Oreochromis niloticus: one gene and its partner. The protein of the gene in region 2 interacts with the protein of the main gene of each other region in a biochemical or structural test. Links are inferred from orthologs where the notes say so. Each region holds a gene or a part of one and is shown on either strand. Other genes may lie near its edges. The genes, in order: pqbp1 and wbp11.

Evidence for each region.
Region 1: the proteins of wbp11 (region 2) and pqbp1 form a complex in vitro, tested with the Homo sapiens proteins (2 studies listed by BioGRID and IntAct, with this or other methods). The link is inferred for Oreochromis niloticus from reciprocal best matches to the Homo sapiens genes WBP11 and PQBP1.

The regions. Positions count from the first base shown.
Region 1 is NC_031984.2:10,672,414-10,684,172, forward strand, and holds pqbp1 (polyglutamine-binding protein 1), read left to right. Parts: upstream 1-5,954; 5' UTR 5,955-6,084; intron 6,085-7,272; 5' UTR 7,273-7,273; coding exon 7,274-7,340; intron 7,341-7,437; coding exon 7,438-7,549; intron 7,550-7,812; coding exon 7,813-7,913; intron 7,914-8,092; coding exon 8,093-8,311; intron 8,312-8,396; coding exon 8,397-8,454; intron 8,455-9,430; coding exon 9,431-9,581; 3' UTR 9,582-9,860; downstream 9,861-11,759. Other genes in the region: cacna1fa (voltage-dependent L-type calcium channel subunit alpha-1D), read right to left, coding at 310-366; voltage-dependent L-type calcium channel subunit alpha-1D, read right to left, coding at 574-779, 1,573-1,591; timm17b (mitochondrial import inner membrane translocase subunit Tim17-B), read right to left, coding at 3,143-3,228, 3,904-4,014, 4,202-4,330, 4,462-4,525, 4,610-4,709, 5,929-5,954; gpkow (G-patch domain and KOW motifs-containing protein), read right to left, coding at 10,049-10,180, 10,274-10,359, 11,622-11,691. UniProt on the Homo sapiens protein: Intrinsically disordered protein that acts as a scaffold, and which is involved in different processes, such as pre-mRNA splicing, transcription regulation, innate immunity and neuron development.
Region 2 is NC_031969.2:9,050,039-9,062,359, reverse strand, and holds wbp11 (WW domain-binding protein 11), read left to right. Parts: upstream 1-7,264; 5' UTR 7,265-7,453; intron 7,454-8,023; 5' UTR 8,024-8,046; coding exon 8,047-8,110; intron 8,111-8,228; coding exon 8,229-8,260; intron 8,261-8,360; coding exon 8,361-8,454; intron 8,455-8,714; coding exon 8,715-8,911; intron 8,912-9,218; coding exon 9,219-9,352; intron 9,353-9,460; coding exon 9,461-9,618; intron 9,619-9,713; coding exon 9,714-9,947; intron 9,948-10,078; coding exon 10,079-10,204; intron 10,205-10,307; coding exon 10,308-10,589; intron 10,590-10,740; coding exon 10,741-10,926; intron 10,927-11,019; coding exon 11,020-11,708; 3' UTR 11,709-12,278; downstream 12,279-12,321. Other genes in the region: uncharacterized protein C22orf31, read left to right, coding at 4,113-4,121, 5,069-5,188, 5,345-5,646, 5,755-5,941. UniProt on the Homo sapiens protein: Activates pre-mRNA splicing. May inhibit PP1 phosphatase activity.

The DNA of each region.
Region 1 (11,759 bases), on a different chromosome or scaffold from region 2:
AATAATAACCTTTAGGAGCAGAGACTTGGACCCTTTAGACAGCGAGTTGGTCCAGTCTCTTCGTCACTGGCTTTTACCTTAATGTTTCTACATTAGAGATGCCATCAAAACATCTGAATAACAAAAATATGCCAGTTTGTATCACATACAGAAGGTGTTTGGTAAGTTATTCACTATCAAGCTGTTTTATTCATATCCATGTGTCCAAAAACATATCTTTGACCCACACTATCATCTGTGATCTGGCATATGATGTAAATTTTTGGTAGCTTTGTCAAATAATTTTATATTTGTTCACTGAATACTTACTAGTTTGTGGTTGGTTGGGTTGGAATCATCATCTGGAAACGGCTTGGTGACACCCATGGCCACACAGTTGGCAAAAATGGCAAGAAGAATGAAAATGTCAAAGGGCTTGCAGACTCTAGTTAAGGCAAGAGCGGGCCTTGTGAACGTATCTCTCCAGGAAAATATATGAACCAAATGATTATTAATAAATGTGCATCATATGCAGGATTAAACATACACAAACCAAAACACACCACATGTGCAGAGAAAAACACTGCAACCCTCTCAGAGAAAAGGATATTTCCACTCCACCAGGGCCAGCGCTGCCATCCGGATGGGGTTGCTAAGGGTGAGGCAGCAAAGAGCTCGGGGGGCCCTGAGGGCAGACTTGTTTGCCTGCATCGCCTTCTTGGCGCCCCCTCCTCTTTTTCTGACCGAGCCAGTTGACCCGAGGGTGTCTGATTTGCCTGCATCGCCCCCAGGGAGGGCATCTGAAAATAAATAAGTCAATATATACATAAAGATTAAAAAGGCAGGGTGAAAATGTGCATTTTCACACACAGTGAATGTTAACTGTGTTGGGCATGGGTTGGGTTGTTTTACTGTAAGTAAGGATATATACATGCAAGATAACAGTTTCTTTTGTTTGGGGGCGTAGATTCAGTGTAAAAAAAATGCAAGTTAAAGAATGTTTTGCCCAGTTCCAGTGTGCATTTGCAGTCCTGTTTCAAGTCATGTTACTCTAGCATTGTTTATGCGAGCTCAGATTTTATTATCTAACACAATTAGGAAAGGATTTGACATGTGGCTGTGGCAACAGGGAGGTATTCTGTCCTGGAGGCCTCATATTATAAGACCAGATGTGACCTACTTCTTTAGTGGGAGCAGTGTGGCACTTAGCCCAGCCCTATCCCCAAGTAGACCCACGAACACCTGTTGACAAGGCACTGCACAGAGAATAAGCCTGAGGGTACTTTTATCATCCCATCCGTGAACAAACTAAACGAGTAGCCAAGACATAAACTGTCTGCCCCAGTAAGAAAACTTTGAATATGAGACCAGCTGTGCATTTTCTGGTTATTATAAAAGCCCCTTTTTTAATTTTACTATTTAGGTTTTGTTACTTTTCAGAAAAGCGTCATGACAAAAATGTTTCTGCTCATCTTGCGTTTGTCTGTTTCCACTCAGAATAGCTTTACAGTGCAATAAAACATAGCAAATGTTACGCGTGGCTTTGCAGTGAAGGCACACTAAGCACATTCCTGTACGGCTGACAGACCATACCTTTCTTCGCCGGGTCCATTTTCGCAGGTTTCGCAGGTTAACGCCACGAAATCACTGAAGAAAACCACCATCAACTCCTCACAAAATCTGTGATGCGTAATGGATCACAGATTTGAATTTGGCCCCCAAAGAGAGAAGGAAAAAAAATAAGGACCATCTGTAGCCTGTCATTTCATATCCACATGCAGAAAGCCGGTGCAGCTGAGAGGCTGCGGGCCATTCTGTTCACCGCCTGTTTGTAGCCCATAAATCCAATTAAAGCCGCTTTCTGGTCATTTCTTGCGGTGAGTAAATGAAGACTGCAATTAAGTTTATCTATGCGGGCACACAACGGTGAGGAATATTAAAGCAAACGCGTGCATATATTCGCGGCGGCCAGCCGTCAGGATTAAAGTAGTTGAGCCGTTTAAAAGGATGACAAGGGAAATCTTTCAAGGGGAAGGTGGAGGTGGAGGTGGAGAAACTCTCCGGCTCTGTGGGAGTTTGCTGCGATGTTTTAGTTTTGAGAGAGAATAATATTAAGAAAATAGTCCATCAAGATGAAGAAAACAGCTGCAAGTTGAGACCCCAATATTCAGGACCTTGGAGAGAAGCAGCCACTGTATGCAGTACCGGAAGGCCGGCGACGGGGGGCGCCAGTCAGCAGTAAATCACAAGACTGCAAAAATATTCATCATATTATACATTACCTGAAAAAGAAGTCACAACCATGAAAACAAAAATCGATCACATTTTTAAAGATTATCTGAAGCTTTATTATTTGTAGGAACATTGTTCACAGTACGTTTATTACGATAAATATTTGCTGACAGTTTGTAACCAGATCGATTTGATAGAATTTTTTTGTGGATGGTGCTAATTTCAGGAAATAAGAGACTTTCAGGTTTTTAAAAAGTGCTTTGTTGCTTTATGCGGCAATTAAAGTGACAAATGGTGCACAGACAACAGACTAGACAAACACTTATAATCAACAAAAACTAAAAAAAAAAAAAAGTTTTGCTGAGTTTCTACAAAAATAAACTCAAATGTCCTCTTTAACACCTCACAGGTAAATAAATATTAATGTTAATATTCGAATAAATATCTTTCTAATGCAAAACTTTAAAGATGTGCAGTTTTCTTATTTTAACTTTCTGCCTTTCAGTCATTAAAATACATAATCAACCCAAGTATAAGATCTTTGGAAGCATAAAGCAGTTTTTGGATAAAACTAATTTGGTTCCTTGAGCAGTGTCTCCAAGAATACAAATGGGCTGAAAATTATTTATTTTAATAGATACATGTTGCTATAATGACTAAATTAACTTACTATGTGGTTTTGAGAACTACACATTGAAGAAAATAATAATAAATATTGAAAACATTGATTTTTCAGGTGGTGCAAACATGAGGAAATTATTAACATTTACTCATAAATAACTGAAACAGTAATTTGTCCCTGAGGTATGTATTAGCATCCAGTAGGGACCAGTATCTCCACCTCTTGGTCATCCTGGTAGATGCTGTTCATGTGCTGGCATTCCTATTATCCTTTCAGTTGTCCACAGCTGGCTTCAGTCCTGAACCTTCTCTACTGAAACTGCCCCCTTTGCCCCTGATGTTGATGATCTCCATCCTTTGGCGGTAACTGACTAGGGTCGTCTGCAAAGGGAATTGCTGGAGAAATCAAGGAAGAAGACACAACAAAGTCAGTTTTTCATGCTTCACTGGCATGTAATCAAGATATAATCTATGTTTCCCTCAGGAACATTTATATGAATATTACTACTGTCTAGGTCTGCTGTGCTTTCAGGCTTTTTGGTTTGGTAGCCTTCCCTCGGCTCATCTCATCCAAAATAAGATATGTCTCAGCAGGTTATCTAACTTGAGCCGTGCTGGAGGAAACCTGATGCTCATACATTTGACTGGTTATTCACAGTAACACTAAAAAAACTATTTTAATAGTCTCACATTCTTCAGCATTTTTTATAAGTTGTTATATCATTAACATTGTGAGAAATTGTGTTCTTGGGAAAAATTAATCAAACAGGAAACACAAATTAAACTGCACAAGAACCTTGAGAGAGTGGACGATTTTCCTCAGGTTCTTTAAAACATTTTGATAGAAACAAAAAATGCTACGAGTGTGGTGAGGGTGAGTAAAAATGGGACCAGTGAGATGAAAAATGTTGCCCTATGCCGAAGTCCAGCCATAACTGAGGAGTGGACGCCAGTACAGGGGTATAAAACCACTCACACATTTAATCATGTGACATTTTGCTAAACTACTGATAAACCATTGGTTCTGTGCAGTTTAAATATCATTTCTGAAACATAATTAACTTCACTCACGGTTCTGAAACTGCTGCGCTGTGTATCTGGTTAGGAGAATCCCAAAACCCTCAATGAGAGCGAGCAAAATCCCCCCCATCATTGCAGAGCCCATCATTGTTAGAGGTCCACCTGAAGAAAAATGCAATATTCAGCGAGTCACACTAATTATCCCAATGTAGAAACCCAATTGTAAAAAAAATTGGAATTTTGTTTACATTTTACACAGCGTGCCAACTTTTTCAGAATTGGGGCTGTATTTACTGACACAGAGAGACACAGTGGTGTCTTGTTTCTTTTGAGCTAATGAGCTCCTTACTGCGTGCTGCTAGGATGGCTCCAGTCAGCGCACCACTGGTTATAGAGTTCCAAGGATCCTCTTTCCCTCTCAGACGAACCAAACCACAGTCGATTGTGGAAAAGAGCCCTCCCCATACAGCAAAGCTACCTGCAACATAAGAAGTAACCAGACTTCAGCTACTTGTATGAAGCTAACTGTACCTAAACAATTTAATCTACACAAAAAATGGTATATTACTAACTAACTGCCATGTGTAACAAAAAACAGGAACTCCTTACCTCCAATCTGTGGAGCTCTAACTCTCACTGCTTTTGCACTCCCTTTCAGCCGGTGTCCGACACCCTGAAATATTAGAGCTCAGTTGAATTCTGCCTTTAACAACCTGACAAGCCAGAGAACAAACAAAAACCTGTGTTTTGAACTCACAGCAGGGGCATTTCGAAAGCCCTTGACCGCCTGGAACACCCCTCCTCCAATTGCACCCATTGTGAAAGCACCTCCACAGTCATCCACTATCCTCCAGGGGCTGGGTTAAGAGAGAAATGGATATTTATGTGACAGGAAAACTGACAATGGGGATATATCTGACAACTAACATCCAGTACATATACAAAATGCAGAAGTTATCTATCGGGGTCTGGATGACGCCGAAGACAATATGGGCACAGTTCTGGCCGAGAAATGTATATTACCCAAGGATGAAGAACTAGCTCCTTAAATATAACTAAATACTCACCTCTGAGTTATGTTTGTGTTAGAAAACATATCAAACATCATAAATGAATATGTCAAACAGCAGTGAAAGAACTAATGAGGTGGGGAGAAGGGAAGTGACAATTTAGTATTCTCCTGCCATAGCCCAGGTTTGATATGTTGTCCATTCAGAGATGCTATACTGCACACTTCAGTTGTAAGGAGTGGTTATTTGAGTTACTGCTGCCTTCAGTTCAAAGCAGTCTGACCACTCTCATCTGATCTCTGACATCAACAAGGCTTTTTCAACCATATAACTGTTGCTCACTGGATATTTTCTCTTTTTCACGCTGTTCTCTATAAAACCCTAGAAATTATTTTGTGGGGAAAAGGCTGTAGTTAAACATTTTCGAAAATATTGAAAAGATCGGCCATTCTGGCAAAAACAATCATGTGATGTTCAAAATCAATAAAAATCAAATGTTTGAACTTCTCCAGCCTGAACTTCAGCAATGCGTCATGACCATGTCCATATGTCTAAATGCACTAAGTTGTTGCCAAGTGACAGAATGTAGGTTTACATTAATAAGTAGGTGGACGGGTATGCCTAATGAAGTGGCTGATATCTGGATTCTTTATCCCGTTCCTTTGAACTCTGTCATTAAAGTTTGACTTGTAGGGGATCAACCTTGACTGGAGGTGTGTCTTAACTTGATAAATAAATAAATAAAGCTTCATGTACTGCCTGTTTGGAACCATATTTTGAGATTAAAATACCCACTATTTTTAATTTCTATCCTAACTCCAGCTGTCACTTAAAAACAGCGACATTTTCAGATAAAGGTGACTCTACCAGCTTATTGTGTGTGCAGAGGGCGCCTCCATATAACAGCTTTATCTTTTTTATATGCCTTAAATAAGCAGGCCGCAACACCCACAGAGCCTTTCTGCTCACTCTCACATCAAAACTGAGTATGAAATTAAAAAGTCAACACTTGACTCCAACTTAATTAGTTCTAAAATAAAAACAAACGCTTAAATTCTAATCTTACCAGGGCTCTCGGGCATACTCCTCCATGTCTGTTTACGTCGTCGTCTTCGTCAAGAGGACGTGATTACGTCATCATTAAGCGCGCCGTGTATGCTGTTTTGGAAAGAGGTATCGTTAGCTTGACGATAAAAAAGGGCCACCTTTTTTTTAAAAAAAGGTAAGAATTTAATTATTTCTTATTGTTCAGTCTTTTGAAGTAAAGGTTAACATTTGTGTTTGTGTGGTGTGGATGCTTTTTGGAGACGCATAGTTTGGTTTATTGCGTTATTCTTACATCTGCAGCCACGGATGCACCGCAAGCGTGTTAGTTTCTTGTTAAAGGAAACATTTCGTATTGTACATGGTACAAATTATTACAAAGAAAACATATATATATATATATGTATGTGTATATATGTAAATACATATATGGACATACATATAAGACAAGGAGCTAGTAAAGTTTTACCTGGAATTCACGTAGGATGGCCATATAACCTAAGAAACTGATTTATTTATTAGGATTGTGAAGTTACTTTAAGTTTTATGAGCAGAGGATTACTTTAAATGATGACAGGACACATAACAGTTCAGGAGTTTAGTCATTCTAAGACCTACCAGGATGCATGCTTTAAACTACAATTCATGGATATCATTGTGATATCGACATCAAAACAGCCAGCTGTAATGTATTGCAGGAAATGATGGTCTACAGACGTGACAAGTCTGCTGCAAAAATGTGGTTCTGGGCAGTGTTAAAGCTGCTGTTGATAGAATTATTACAGTAAAGGCATAATCTCCGCTTATCAGAAAACAAGAAATGTCCTCAGAGAAAATGGACAAAACAAAATAATGATAATAATAAGAAGAAGATGAAGAATAAAAAACAGGTAAATATGGGAACTGTTTCAAAACCAAGTGTTCAGTAAAGTGTGAGATGAATAGTGGACCAAAAATATTAAACTTAATGATGATTAAAAAAAAACAAAATTAACAGACTTGCAATTTTGTGTCTAATATATAAAATAACCCATTAAAGTAATGAAACTGTTACAAAATGTGCTTATATTAAAGATCACTAAACTATATAATGGTGGTAATCATGTGCATTTTACTTTATGGCCACATGTGACTCAGTGGTTTGTGTGTAAGTGATGAGTTTCTATATGTCCTAATTAATCAAAGGGTACATATTATTGAAAGTAAATGATATGTATTATATTATCTGATTTATGACCAATCTAAGACTATTTTAATACTGTGTAATAATGTGTTATGAGCATTTGTTCTGCAACTGTTATTTTGGTACCCCAAGTGAATTTCAGCCGTAATATGAACAGTGTTTCACATGGACTCCGTCTTTCAGGATGCCTTTACCTCCAGCACTGCTGGCCCGATTGGCCAAGAGAGGGATTGTTAAACCAACAGAGCAAGGTAGTATAACAGATTTCATATTTGGGTCTCTGTCCTTCATGGATTTCTCCTAATGTTTTGTGCTGTTTAAAAACCTTTTCCCCTTCAATTAATCCAGGGGCAGATGAGGAGATTATTGCTGAAGATTATGATGACAACAATGTAGATTATGAAGCCACCAGAGTGGAGAATCTACCACCAAACTGGTACAAAGTGTTTGACTCTGCTTGGTATGTACACTTAATATACTATAATTTAATATAATAAGAATTTTATACTTTAATTCAAAATGATTATTATAAACTTCACAATCAGAATGCGCTAATTACTTTTTCTTTCTTGTTTCTCATTTTATTCTTGAGAAGTCAAATTCTCCTTGAACATTATAACTACTGTCATGGAGAGCTAAAGTGTATTTTTAAACTGTTAAGTAAGTTTTATTTAATTTTGTGGTTACAATATTAATCACTAATGTTTTATTTTCCTTACACAGTGGTCTACCTTATTACTGGAATGTCGAGACAGATATGGTTGCCTGGTTATCCCCAAATGACCCAACTGCAGTAATAACAAAACCTGCCAAGAAAATAAGAGGTATGCTTTTATTCAGCCTCTATAATGTAATGTTTTCAAGAGGCACTAATGATCACAATTTCAGTCCTCTTACAGTAGACGTGTGTTACTTTGCATGTACAATCTCAGAATACAGTTTGCTTTTGACAGATTTCAGCCATGGCTAATCTTGTGATCCTTGCCTTAACTTGTGTTTTTAGTAGAAGGAGGAGATGAAAAAGGCGAGAAGCAAGTTGAGAAACCAGACAGAGACAGGGACAGAGAACGACACAGAGACCGGGATCGGGAAAGGGATCGAGATCGGGAAAGGGACAGGGAAAGGGACCGGGACAGAGACAGAGAGCGTGATGATGGGAGGGACAGAGACAGAAGAAAGCAGAGAAGAGATGAGGCAGCACCATACAGTCGAAGCAAAAAAGGTAATGTTTACATCTGATTCATTACATGTTTACACATCGGCGCCTTTCACATGATTAAATATTGAACACCTAATATTTTTTACAGGTAGAAAAGATGACGAGATGGACCCCATGGATCCAAGTGCTTACTCTGATGCTCCAAGGTACAGTACAGATGGTCACCTTGATATAAGCTATATACGGGTCGTTCTCTGGTACTCCGATTTTGCCAGAATCATTGTGTTGCACTTGTTGAAAAAATAGTTATGAGAGACAGATCAAATCAATTCCCATCATACATTTTTATCTTAGACGAAAGAACTAAACCCTCACACAGCACAGCTACAGTGTTCGAGTGTGTCCCCTCAAAATTCAAAATGGTAATCAGCAAAGTTGATATCCCTGGTTTACGGAGCTCACATAAATCTACATTTCATGCAAGGCACAATACCTCAACAAGAGGCAGATTTTATTGCAGTAGCATAATGTTCATAGTGAACTGGATTAGGTTTCCTCCCATTTTCATAAAAGATGCTCTGCTAAAGAGGAAAATATATACAGGATTGTAGCACATTTCCTTAATATTTGACCAAATTTGACCAGCTTTTATCACAACTCACTTATTCCCTTAAGCATAAAATAAAGACTTGTAGAAAGGCCTCATATCCTTATGAGCTCTCAGCCCTCAGAGTGGGAACGTGTGAACACTGGGAAGGGGCCATACACTTTATTTTTTTAAAGAGCATTTTGGCTTGGCATGTCAGAGAAAGCACAGGTATAAAAACAACTTAAAGAATGGCTCCATACTACTTCAGCACGCTAGTTCCATACCCCTTGTATGTGCAGTCAGTCTTATTGTTGCTGTAAATGCAACATACTGTAGCCATCATTAACTAAATTTACCCCATTTGCAGTTTTCCTGCCACCATGAGCCAAATTCTCTGCTGTGAAAATGTCTATTAAAAAAATCTACACCTCCAGGGTTTCTGTTAAAAATATTCCTAAAACAAAGCTGAGATTGTCATTGCAATTTGATCAAGGTTGTTTTCTCAGGCTTGACAAAACCCCTTCTCAGCCACAGAAGACATTGTAGTGCTGATTACAAATGCAGTTAAAACACAAACGTATTCATTTTTGCAGGGGGTCGTGGTCAAGTGGGCTGCCCAAACGCAATGAAGCAAAAACGGGTGCAGACACCACAGCAGCGGGGCCTCTCTTCCAGCAGCGTCCGTACCCGAGTCCAGGAGCTGTTCTTCGGGCTAACGCAGCAAACCAACTACCCAAGGAGTAAAAGCAGATACCATGAAGACAGCATCTTAAAACCCACAACTCTACAGTTGGTCTTCATTATGCTCACATGCTAAACATCATAGTTTGACAGGCTTTTGTTTCATTGTGAAATGTGTACATGTCAGAAATGAAAGGCTGAACTTTTTGGACAGCTACTCTATTCATACTCCTGCCGTGTAGAGCATTTGTAAATATGTTTTTATATGACCCAAAGGTTCACTTCTCATTGTTACTAGACCTATCAGTGAACATGATAATAAACTTAAGACTACTGTGAAAATGATCTGTTGCAGCTTTTTCTCAATTGTTGCATTGCCATATGTACAAGGAAAAAAAAATCTTGACAAGTTTTTATTACAAAATTGAAATCTTTTAAAGTCCATAATACTTGAATAATGAAAAAAAATAAAACAGCTGGGATGAAGTGGATGGAAAAAGGACAGTGAATATTACAGTAAACATCCGAAATCAGTGGTCTGCTGCTGCCCCAACATAGTGACAAATGGAGTCATAGTCTAATGTGAACACTTTATCCTCGTATCTGTCGAGCTGGACCATCGCTCTGCACTTGTTCTTGTCCCGCTGAAGAATACGGCCAACCTGAATCAGGTGGGAAAATAGTGATCAGTAACAGCTAATCAGATTTAAACAAATACATATATATATGTAAAGCAGTGAGGTTACTTTGCTCACCTTTCCCTTGTGCTCACCCAGTACCACCATTACAGAATCATGTTCACTTTTTGGGACAATAGTTTCCAGCATGTCCTGCTTCACATCTGCCACAAGAAAAGAAAAAAGAAACGCTGGGTCATTCATTGAAGAAATTCTACAGTAATACCAACTAGGCAGCACTCAGGAATAGAGCCAGCAGATTCTGACATTTATGTTTGCTAATAACCAAAAAGGAAAAAGAATCAAATTAATCCCCAATCTGGGAAGTCTGGTTGTCAGATTTAAGTCAGCAGACCGACCTCTCAGGACAACAACCAATGCTTCCACTATAGCCAGCAGATATCTGTGGTAAGAAGTCCTGTTATTATTTTTGCAACAAATACATTTTAAAGAACAAATAAAATGTAAAAATATTATTCCAACTCAAGGTTATATTTTGGCAATAACAATAATCAGTAATCCCTCGCCTTGCTCTTCAACAGGACCATTTACCTGTAAGTAATCTGCAAACAGATTCTTGTCCTGCGCCTAAAGATTCTGAGCACTTTTATGATGACATGATTTTAAAGTGACTGATTTGACATGATAGCATTGTGTAAAGTTAGCTGTTGGAAAGCACAACTGCAGCCAGAACAATATGAAGTTAATTTCAAACGAAACACAGAAACAAAACTTATCATGACAGAAAAGATCTGAGTATAATCCTAACAGATTAAAACTGTACATATCTCTCAAATTAACTAACTGTAAACAGTATAGAAGACTGGTTATTCTGCAGATTCAGTAGTGCCAAAAAGAATAGTTCAACCATTTTTTTTTTTTAAAAATCCATATTTGCTTTGTGTTGTTGAAAGTTAGCTGCGAGGACCTATACACCTTTATATTTAAATATGCAAATGTGCAGATCTGGGAGATTTAACCTGAGAGAAAAGAAAATGAGCATTACAAGTTATTCTACTGGTCAACAATTATAACTTCTTCATCATTGTGTGCAAAGAAATGGAGAAAAAGAGATTTAACAAACCTTCAAAAACAAATAAAGCCATACTTTTCCTTCAAATTCTAACAAAAAAAGTCATATCTGTCTATTCCTTAAACTAACACCTCACAATAACAGTGATTAATTGGTAGCTTGTTTTATACTATGTACGATATAAATATACTACATAAAAAGCTTTTTTCATGCAAATTATGAGCAGCTAAAAAACACCTTAACTTGCTAGATGAATTATGAATTCAACAGAGACAGTGACAGCATACATTTTACACATTTCCTGACAAGCTCCAATTAGGCAACAGAAAACACGAACGCCACAGACTGAGAAAAATAACACCGAGCGAGCCCGAGATCACACTAATAACTCACCGTCTAACAGTCTTCCCTCTTCAGTTCGGCACACACAGGTAGACGGCGTCAGGACATCCTCCACTTGCATCTACACAAAAACGAGACTTATTTTAAGAACTCTGATGGAAACTGAAGATTTGCAATTATCACTTTTCT
Region 2 (12,321 bases):
TACCTATGTTCTATGTTTATTTATTTATTAGGAGTTTTTCTGTTTGTCTGGAGTTTTTTTGTTGTTTTGTTTTGTTTTGGTTTGTTTTGTTTTGTTTTAGAGGTATAATGGCTCCTTAGATCCGTCTGGTCGATGTCTAATACCTGCTGCTAATTTTAAGTAAACAGGTCACCATTTTTATACTACACATTTCACTAATTTCTAAAAAATTATCTTTTAAGTTTGGATAATGCAAGGGTTTCATTAAGTTACCCCTGTCAGTTTTGATGTTATGATGACCAGTGCTGGTCAAGTTACTTGAAAAAAATAATTAGTAACTAATTACTGATTACTTCTCCAAAAAGGTAATCCCGTTACTTTACTGATTACTTATTTTCAAAAGTAATTAGTTACTTGGTGACTTAGTTACTTTTAAAAAACATGATACACAACCTGAATAGATAATAAAGCAATAGACCTTTCAGCCCAATTCTACTTTTTCTGCATAATCCATCATATAAAACTGAATCAAATAAAAAAGTCTGTGTTCAAAACTTGTTTTATTCATTTTAATCTTTTAACTTTGTGCACATTGCATCAAGCAAAAATTAAATTACATGCAACAGTCTTTGAATTGAAGAAATTTGTTTAACAATTAAACCTATTTTCTGCATATTCCAGAATATAAAATAAAATAATTTTTTGTGTGTTTACACTCTTTCAAATAGATGCAAGTAAAACACAGCAGAAAACAAATAAAATCAAAGACTCAACGGCACTGAGTCCTGTCGTTCTTAAATCTATTGTCACCTGTTTAGCAGGAGTGGAGCAGGCGGAGGTGTCAGTGGGGGGATCCGGGGGTTTCTCTGTGAATTTCACATTCCTGTGGCAGCGTGCTGGGTACTTGCTCAGAAGTTTGGGGAGGGGGGGAGTTCTTCCCACACAATGTACAGCGGACGCTAATGTTTTTGTCACTTTTTATGGAATTAAGTAAGGTCAGTACTTCCACGCTTTAGGTTATGTGGCATTATCTGCCACATAACCTGATCTTTGCTGATTGACTGGGAGAAATTCACCTGGTTCTACGAAATCACAGTGAGTCATAACGAGGACAATGTTGATGTTCGTTTAGGTTACCAAAACTGTCTCCTTGCACAATGAAGGGATTATTAGACTGAGAGGTAAACTGCTTCTAGCTCAGTCATGTGGAATAGTTTCCACAGAACCCATTTAACATCAGCACTAGTAGTGATATAATGATCAACACAGAGCATGAATTACAAATAAATACTTGTTGGTTTAAGAAAAAATACATGAACCCCTTTAAGAAGTTTAATAGATGTACAGCCACAAAGACCAGAACACCTAGCGGTTCAAAAGTAAAATTACCACATTGTGGGGATGCTTGGGGCTTCCCATGCTTTAATTAGAATGTAATTATCTGTCAGCAAGGAAATACAGGTTCTTATCAGGGCGAATTTCCTGAAAGTGGGTGAAGAGGTGGAGCATGAGGAAATGAAGATCTTGGTACAGGTTCTGACTGCTTACTTGAAATATGAAAAATAGGGCACTGGCTTTAGCAGATGATGTGCTGCTTTAACTGTTTAAAGTTTATCCCCTCCCCTCTCAGTATCTTGGATATATTTGGCATTCTTTTAATTATTATTATTATTTATGTATAGCAGATATGAGGAGTAATATTAATTGCTCCGTGAGGCTGACTGACTTATGTGACAATCCTGTGAGAGAAGATGTGTTTTTCTGCCCTTCTGCCAGCAGCCAGAGGGCCTGTTGGTCTGCGAGCCAACAATGGTTAACATGTCATAGTTTCAGGTTTCTGCAGTGTATTTGTTCTGTTTGCTCATTGTTACATTGGCTGTGTTTCTGGTTTTTCCAGCCCGTAATGTTCGTCTTCATGTGTTAGATTTTCATGTTTTTGTCATTTCCTGTTTTAGTCTGTAGGTTAGGTTTTTTTCTGTCTTTTTCAAGCCTTTTTCTTGCTTTTGTTCCCCTCCTTTGTGATTGAATGCCCCATCCTCATTACTCTCACCTGCGTTTCATCATATAATTAGGCCCACCAATTTAATGCAGTTTCCTTGTAGTATAAGTTTGACATCCCTGGTTTAGATCCAGCTTATACTTTGGATGGGAGGAGTCATTTATGTTGTTGTGAGCCTTCTTCGAGCTGCTATTCCAGGGTATGTTGGGAGTGGAGGAGAGCTGGGCATACGAGATCCCCACATCTTCTCTCGTAGTGGATAGTCTTGTCTTTCCCCTTTGTCAAGTTGTTAACCTATCCTCCTTTTTCTTGTGCTCAGGTGTTGGATTCCTGTTCTGTTTATTTCCTTGTGCACAGCTTAGTTTACTCTTTGGGACTTTTTCCTATTTTTGCATTACGCCAGTAAAGATGCATATTTGTTATTTACCTTCCTTATGTGCCCTGCACTTGGGTCTTCTTACCAGGTTTGAAGGTGTGCCATTGAACAAACAGAGTATCTTCTGTTCTTTCATTGATGGATGAACGGTTTCTTTGACAGACATTTGTGTGGGTAATCACACTTACCGAAATCCACGTTGCACAGTCCATGTATAATGGCATTCGTTTTTTTGTTTTTGTTTTTTTTAAAACCACTTTGTTAAGCAACATGAACTCTGGCTATAATTTAGGTTAAGTATTTGTTAGCAGTGCAATGATTTGAATTGTGGCCTCTCAGCAACAAAAATTAAATTAAATTAAAAAATCCCTTGTTCAGACCCCCTGATGAGCTGGGGTTTGCGTTCTCATTTTCTTTCCTCCCACAATCTGAAATAAACTCAGATGAGCTCCAGATAAGGGCTCAAGAAAAAAAAGTTCTTTTACTGATGCAACAAGAAAACATATACTGTATTCCATAAACGCTGTAGAGTGTGAATGTATGTCAATGTTATGTAAAAAAAAAAAAACACACTAGAAAAAGGTATGAATGTGTGTGTGAATGGGTGAATGAGGCATGTTGTATAAAGTGCTCTGAGTGTGCAAGTGGAGCAGAAAAATGCTGTATAAAAACCAGACCATTTACATTTATAACATAGAGGCATTTCAGAATTTAGTATTTAGTGTTGGTATTATTTAACTTTTGTTTTGTGGGTTTTTTTCTTGTTTTTTTCTTGCACCACCTAATTTGGTTGTGATACTGTGACAGTGACTCACTGACAATAAAGTCTCTTATGTATTATATAATTGTCCCTTTTAGTTTTATTTAAAATCTTCTCTCAGATGTAACTGTTTTCTGTTTTGAAGACCGCAACAAAACGAATGTCAAAAACTGACCACAGGGTGATATATCGAAAGAAATCGTCTTAAATCCATTTCTGAGGCTGGGACAGACAGTGCGTTGCATGTGGATTCATGAGCATGAGCGGTCAGAAATACCACCAAAGACTAAGGCACTGCAAACTGACAGAGCATAAGAGAGATTTTTATACAGACACCTTTTGGAAAGAAGTTATTTCTGCAACACATCGCTCTAGAGATTGACTTTGGAGCTGTACAAAGCATAGCTGTTTCCACGGTAAAATGCTGACACCTATTGGTCAAAGTAGGTAGTGCAGCGGGTTCAGTACAGTGAGTAGAAAGAGAGAATTTGCTACTCTCCGGGCCATTTATAAAATAAGCACAACTTATGAAGTCCAGTATTTTTAATTACAATGAGCTGATGTGATATGCTGTGGCAGCTAAACCACTTTTGCTCTGTTCTGACGTATTTTCATATGATCATTACGCACCACTTTGATGCAGTAATTATGTGGATGCCCAAATATTAAAAAAAAAAAAGCCGCCATAACTAAAGTTGAACTGGGGGAAAAACTCACTAAAAATAATTATTACAGGGATTTTTAACAGTAGGTACAAAAAAGCGTGATTTAAGCGAGCGTGGTTGCTATGCGTCCCCAGGTTCTATTTGCATTGCATCTTTTGATATAGTTCAGACACATTTCACTCGACGTGTTGTGCAAAGCTACAAGGGATTTCTGCAAATTTCTGCAAATTTCTGCAAAAGTAAGACACCTTTCTGCTCAAGACTTCTTGCAGCCTTACAAGAGTTCAACTCCCACCGTCACGAAGGAAAGCGACCCAGCATCCATCATCCGTCATGGACAAGGTGAGATTTTATGACCGTTTTCAATATAGTTTGGAAGTTTTGAAAGAGTTCACTTTGCCAACAGGGCAACGTGAAAATATAGAAGACATATATGTGAATAAAAGGCATTAAAAACTCCCAATTTAGGCCTACACACGTGGGAGTTATGCTTGCATGTTAGACTGTTGCACTCTAGCTGTAAACAGGGTAAACTGTGCATCATTTAAACTTGCATGTTACCTATAATGTTTTCTTTTGCGTGTATTAAATGATCTTGTGGCAGACATGTCACCAAAGTTTGCAGCTGAGATAAAAAATGTTCAGTTTTTGCTAATAAGTAGAGTATCCTACATCTGTGATTAACTGAAATGCATAATGATCACCAGGGGGGGTGCATGTTGCTGTTTGGGGGGATAAAAAAAGTAAACACTGAGACTTTATTCACTGTAGAAAAGCTAATCCCTAAAATGTTTATTTACAAATTAGCAAGCAATGATGTTCAGCATCATCTGAATTCTCAAAATCATTTAAACCACACATGACCGAGCTTAGCCAGTTACAAAGGTATTTTGTGCATCTGCATTGTTCAAAAACGGCAATAAGCAGCAATGATTATAACAGAAATTAGAGTTTAATACAACATGGACTTTGGTGTTTGTTAACTTATGTAAATTATTATTTGAAATGTCATTTGGGGGTATGCAGCAGTGAAGCTCTAACATGATGAGCCCATAAGTTGACAGTCTTTTATTACACTGACCTTGATGCATTGTCCTGGTTTTAGTTCTTATGATTTTCTGTGAACATGTTGGATATTTTTTGTCGTTACACTCACTGTGGACAAGTTATTCAACCATGCAAGTGGTTTAAGTAGTTTTTGGACATATTAAAGGGTTTGTTTGTTTTTAAATGTTTCATGAACTACTAACTGATGTTTGCATTACTGTCATTTTTGTGTATACCTGCAGCTTACTGTGCCCGTTCACCTCAAAGACCATAATTATCGGATGAAAAACACTGCATGCCGGGCCCGTGATGCAAAGAAACCCAGAGCCTGCAGCAAACAACCATGCTGCAGCAAGGACCAGGTTGGATGTGTAAAATTTCATTAACAGAACCATTTAAGGATTTTGGAGTTTGGACTTCCATGTCGTTCATCAAATTTAAATTTTTGTCTTGTTTGAAAAAAATGAGGTCATTAATAACTACTGACATTCCCTTGTGTGCTTCTGACCTTTCTCCAGGTTATTAATTCAACCCTGAGGCCCCGGCGCTCTGATAGAATAGCCAGTCAGCCCCAGAAAAGGAAGCGAAGCCCAGCATCCAGTTCTTCCCGACCTTTGGTTAAACCTCGAAAGAACTCGGTGCCTCCCTCTGCTATCTCACATGACGACCTGCCAGTGGCAAAAAAAATGCCCCCCAGACCCGAGCCATGCAGTACCGACCACCAGCCAACCAGCTCCGGTGACAGCCCTTTAAAAATCCACAATCTCTCAGTGGAAGATTATCAGCGACTCTACCATGAGGTGGTAGATAGCATGCTGACGTACGTTTGTCTCCAAATCTCCTGTCACTTTTTAAAATCGCCAGCTCTAAAATGGTTACAGTAGGTTTTTGACCACATGCATCATTTTGATTGAATTTCTTTTTGCAGGTACAAGAATGGCCGCCCTCGTCCCTACAGTTTAGAGCTGGGGAGACGCATTAAGAAAAAGCTGTGGGAGAGACTGAATCGTCCTGTGGTGCAGACATCAACTAACGAGGATGGACTTGAACACATTGACATGGTGTATGGGCAAAAAGTCAAACTCCCAAACTATGATTTTGACATTTCGAGTTAGCCACATCCTCAACATCCACCGAGCAAAAGAGGAAAGGAAAACTGAATGTAGAGCAGCAGGAGCACTGCTACAAGACATACAATCAAAAACTGTGAAACACACAAATCAACTGTAGATAAAATTACTGTAAATATATGACAAATGTTTTTGTAAATAGTTCAGATGTGACTTTAATGATTAAAATGTAATTTCTGCACAAGTTTGTGTGTCTGTATATTATATTCCACTGTGTGTTTGGACAACTGTTTAAGGTCACTCTCTGAGAACATGCACTGCACAGTACTACAAAAATGTGATGCTGGATGACATCTGCATTTCCATTCAATAATTGTCTCTTCAAACTATTTCATGACTGCCTGACTGATTTTAAAAACGCATCAACCATAATCAGGACACAGCCACAGATTTTTGGATCACATGATGAAAACTGTAAACCTCCATAGGACTTTTATTTTGAAAAATCACTATTTATATTATTATTTATCTGAATCAAAATGGCTAATTTGAAGTCCTTGTTGACCATAATATATATTCAGGCACTGTGAACAAAACATAACATCCAACTTTAATTCACTAGCACGTTTGTCTTTTTAAAGACAACACATTACTTAACTTCCTTGAATAAAGTGCAGAATGCTAGAGATTTATGTCATTCTGTTTGCAGACTGTCTTATACAAAAAGAAACTTCTTTTCATCAGATGTGACTTTTATGCAGCCTTCATTTATTCAGGTAAAAAGGTGTCACTGACATTAAAAATGTCGTTTTCAAACGAGGTCTGGCCTGGAGGGCTGCAGAAGTTATAAAAAATCACAGTCCTTTAAAGAACTGTGATGTTCTTCAAGTGGCCGAAAAGGACTGGATGGATGGATATAATGATTCATAGAGCTGCTTTCAAATTGGATTTATTTAACATATAACCCATTTTTTAAACTCTGTTTACTGCAGCCTATTTAACAATATAAGCAACTATATTAGACAAAAAAACAAACATAAAAAGATATCTAGACATAAAAAAAAACCACGCAAAAAGTGATTGGCATACGCAACCCAACACATACGACCACTTTTTGGCACACCAGTGCAGTGAGGTTGTAATTGCTACTTGTAACCATCGGGGGGCAGTATCGCTAGAGTGCAGTCTTGGATCCTGTAACAAGAATCACCCTTCGTTATCGTTAGAGCCACATTGCGCCATACAATATGAAAATAATAAAGTCCTAGTATATGTACAAATACTATAAAGTGAAGTTTTAAATAATACCGTTTGTCCAGTTAGTTTTATTTTTCTTTCACTGCTCGCTTGTTTTGATGACGTCAAAATCGCCTTTCCGCTTTCATTCGCGGCAGTAAACATGGCGGACGGTTAGCGAAGCCACGGTGTGATTTTCAATTCTGGGGGGTTTGGATTTCTCTTTAAGGGCGTACGCAAAACGCGTTGCATTGCTTTTGGCACACGGAGGTGTGCGTGTGTGTAGGGCGTTGTGCCCTGTGAGTTTTTACTGAATAAAAGGTACAGTGCATTTTTCCCTCCTGTGCTGCTTTCGTTGCTAACGCGGGCCTAGCTATAAGTGCAAGCTAACGTTAGCCGCTAACCTGCCAAGCAAATGCTTTTGACCGGCATGATTTAACATATATATATATATATATATATATGTCTGTGTGTTTGTGTTACAAAAGTGTGATTGGCTCTGTGGTGTTTTTCAGCTCATTCAATAGTTTAATTGTGCAAAAGCGTAACACATAGATGTTGGGGGAGCTTAGATTGAGTCGTGCGTTGATTGTCAACTTTCTTATCTTCTTTGCTAATAATAGCTAACAGTAAAGTTCTTTAAGGTGTGTATTGCAGACAGTTTGGTTAAATTGCCTTGATATCGAAGTTAGAATTAACAAAAAGGAGACTGCAGTTTGTCAAAAATGAATTCAAACATTGTTTTAAGTGTCATTGATTCATAAATATGAGCTAAAAGTGTTATTTTACGTTGTGACAAATTCCGACTTGTTTTTGAACGTACCATAAAATAACAACGTATGGTTTCCTTTACATTTATCTTCTCTTCTGTTTTGCTGTATTACATGGCAGCGTGAAGCAGACCCACCGTCACAATGGGGCGACGTTCAACCTCCTCCACCAAGAGTGGGAAGTTTATGAATCCCACCGACCAGGCCAGTAAGTGCTGATAACAAACTGGCGCTAATTCAATCATGAATTGATCTCCTGAATGCTCAGTTGCTGATTAGATATAAAAATGGTCATTTCTTTCTCCCCCCAACCCCCACTCCTACAGGAAAGGAGGCCAGAAAAAGGGAGTTAAAAAAGGTTAGAACCATTCACTTTTAAAAGAAGATAATTCTAAATATGCAGGATAATAATACTGTGATAATATGATGGTAACATCATTTTCTTTTGGAAATATTAGAACAAGAAGCAGAGGATGATGGTGAGAGCAGCAGTCCTGAAGATGAAGGATCCCAGACAGATCATCAGAGACATGGAGAAGCTGGATGAGATGGGTGAGATGACAGGGCTGAGTTTATGGAGTTTACATGTTAGAAATATATTTAGTTGTAGCTATTTAGTTGTATGTTTGCCACTAGTAGAGGACCTGAGCTTGTGGAACACGTGTATCAGTAGAGTTATACTATATATAATTCATGTGTGTATTTAAGGATTTCAGGCCTTTAGGTAACAGCAGAAAATCACAGTCAAAATCTGATTTCTACAATTCATTTGCTGCTTTTCTAATGAAAATAATTACTTTGTTTCTGAACAGAGTTCAACCCAGTTCAGCAGCCGTTGCTGAATGAGAAGGTGTTGCGGGACAAGAGGAAGAAGTTGCGTGAGACATTTGAGCGCATTGTTCGTCTGTACGAAAGAGAGAATCCCGAAACCTACAAAGAGCTACGCAAACTTGAACTGGACTATGAGACCAAAAGAGGGCAGCTGTCTCTTTATTTTGACTCAGTCAAGGTGTGTTGAATCTACATGACAGTTTGGGGGGGCGGGGTTCCTCAGTTTATAATAAATCTTGCATGAATTGATGCAGGGATGAGAGGTATATTGTATGCACATTTTCCTACAGGCTTGTGTACGCCTTGTTGGCCTGGAAAAAAATCTTAAAAGTCAGGATTATTAAAATTTTGGGGAGACACCAAAACCCATTACTCGTCTTTTATTTGTCTTGAGCTTGAGTGCTTCAGATGTGTGCTCCATTACCTTATTTATCCTTTGTTGTGCTCTCTGTTTACTCTGTTGTGTGACGTTTCCTCTTTTTCAGAATGCAGAGTTGGTGGAGGTTGACAGTATCCCTCTACCAGACATGCCTCATGCCCCATCCAGTATCCACATCCAGGACATCCCATTACCAGGGGCTCAGCCTCCCTCCATATTGAAGAAGAGCTCCACTTTTGGGTAAGACTCATTCTATGAGTAGTAAAAGTTTCAGCAGTTAAACTCCGTATGTGACATTTAGAATTTTAATGTGCAGTTGAGTTAATTCTGTTTTTATGCATGTCTTAGTAAAGGACCATCGTCCTCCGGACCAGCATTGGCAACAGTGCCAGGTGTCCCACGCTTACCTCCAGGGAAGAAGCCCCCTGGGCCTCCACCTGGCCCCCCACCTCCTCAGGTCCTGGCACTGTATGGACCTGCTCGACGCGGTTACGGCACAGATGCAGGTGAGATACAGCCAGTTTCCCTCTGATAATCAAATGATTTTTTTTCACCTATAATTTAACATTTCTTCTTGTTACACTATTTCTCCTTTGAACAGAGCCTTCCATTCCTGGATTTGAAAAGGACTCTGCAATGGATTTGGGGAGAGATCGGGACAGCGGGAGTGAGAGCGACAGAGATCAGGACGATATTGATGACGACAGCGACTCTGAAGACATCAGTGAAGAAGAGAGAGATGAAGGGGGAGATGGCGAACAGAGAATGCGCTTGGACAGGCAGGACGATGAGAGAGAACGAGAAGAAGATAGAGACAGAAGTGAAAGACATGGTGGTGAGTGTTTCTGACTGCTTCAACACATTTAAGCCTCAGCTCACGTCTTTGTTGCCTTTATTTATCTCTTGATCTTACAACTGTTTGTATTCTGTTGTATTTCTGAATTTGTTATTGTTTGACTACTGCAGGTCGTAGCGTACGTTTCGCAGATATGCCTGCAGAGGCACCCCGTGACGGAAAAAAGAAGAAGAAGAGGGTTGTGAAGAAGACCAAGGCCATTACACCTCTGCAAGCCATGATGTTAAGGATGGCAGGTACTGTCAATGCTAAGCACTTACTAAGCTTGTGCTCCTCTGTTTCTTTTCTTTGTATGGAGATATGCTATGGCATTTTTATTTATTTATTTTTTGTCTTCAGGTCAGTCAGTTCCTGAAGAAGAGGAAGAAGAAGAGGTAGAGGAAGAATACACAGATGAATCAGACAGCTCTGACATAGAGGACAGAGGCCCTCCAGGGGACAACCAGTCCCATCTCATGGCCAATCAGCGACTGCCCCCTCCAGCTGGGACCACGGGACAGCAAGGGCCTCCACACATGCAAGGGCCACCGATGACAGGACCTCCACCACTTGGTCCACCTCCGGCACCACCAATGAGGCCTCCTGGTCCACCATCTGGCCCACCTCCTGGCCCCCCACCAGGTTCGCATTCTGATTAGCTAAAAGATTGAATGCTTCAATTCTGAAGTGATACTAGAGTAATTTCCTGTGCCTGTTCTGTGGGCGTCTTCTACTTCTCTAAGTGTGAATGCTCTGCATCGTTTTTTTCAAAGAGATCTTCTGTTATCTTCAGGTGCTCCTCCGTTCTTGAGGCCTCCTGGCATGCCTGCAGGAATGAGGGCTCCAATGCCTCGGCTTCTGCCTCCTGGGCCTCCACCAGGTCGACCACCTGGTCCTCCACCAGGCCCCCCTCCTGGCCTTCCACCAGGCCCTCCACCACGTGGTCCACCTCCCAGATTACCACCCCCAGCACCACCAGGTAGGCACATGTGTGTGGAGGCAATCTAAAGATATAAAATAGTGAGAACTTCTGTTGAATGCATTTCTCACATATGTTTTTTCCTCCTTGTAGGTATCCCACCTCCTCCCCCAAGAGCTGGAGGGCCCCCGCGTCCTCTTGCACCACCTCTCTCTCTCTTCCCTCCACCTCTCAATTCGAATGTGCTGAGTGCTCCTCCAAACATTGTTCAGCGGCAAAAAGGCTCAGGATCCAGCCAGGACGGTTTACAGGCCAACCTGCAACCCCCTGCTATGCCCATGCGACCCGGTGTCATGCAGATGCCCCCTCCGCCTGGGACAGCTGCTGCCTCCACAGGCACCAATCCTGGCAGCAATCCCCCCAGCCATCACCACGCGCCCACCATCGAAAAACGCGCAAACATCACCTCTGTTGCAGCTGCAGGAGGCAACCTGGCGGCAGGTGCCGGTGCAGGCGGGGCCACCATCTCTGCCAAACCTCAAATTATCAATCCCAAGGCAGAGGTCACCCGCTTTGTGCCCACAGCGCTGAGGGTGCGTAGGGACAAGGTTGGAGCAATGCCAGGAGCAGCACCTGGGCCCATGGAGAAAGCAGGGGGTTCTGTTGGAGGAAGGAGGGGAGATGAAGGTGTGGGAGTAGGCCAGTGGCAGAAACAGCACACCGCAGCAGCTCCTATGGGCGTGGCCAATCCATCTCAGATGGGTGCTGTGTCTCAGCCCAACATGAAGACTAAAGACCAGGTGTATGAAGCCTTTATGAGGGAGATGGAGGGACTCCTCTAAGACTCGGGAGCGTACTGCCGATACTGATGATCAGTGTGGCGAGCTGAACAACAGCAGTGTGTTTGTTTTGTGTTTTCTGTGCAGAGTTATAGAGGTAGCCGTCTTCAAGCTTTCAGCTAGAATCAGTTTGTCTGTCACCTACCAGCGAAAGGCCACTACACCCTCAGCTTTGTTCTCTGCAGGCTCATTCATTTGATCTGGGTTAGATTTTTGTTGCATCAACAAGAATGTGCATTTCAAAAAGAATAAGAAATCTGTTTATTTTACTGGGTAACTTGCATAGTCAATTCAAGAGAAGAACACTATGCTCTGCACAGAAGTGCTTTTTCACATCCAGCATATTGTTTTGTTTTTTTGTTTTGTTTTTTAACTCTGAAATTGTGTTTTTCCTCCAACCACCTGTTTGCAACTTGAACTTAGAAGCAATCTCGATTACTTTTTTGTGTTTTTTTTATTGCAGGTCTCCTAACATCAAAATAAAGTTACAGAATGTTTTCCAACCACTGACAAAAGTAAAAGTGTAAAACTGTTTGATCTTCAGCCAAATAAAAACTCAAAAAAATGGTTTAATCTTGTTTCAGTGTGAATCGATCCGCGAAAGAAATTCCCATGT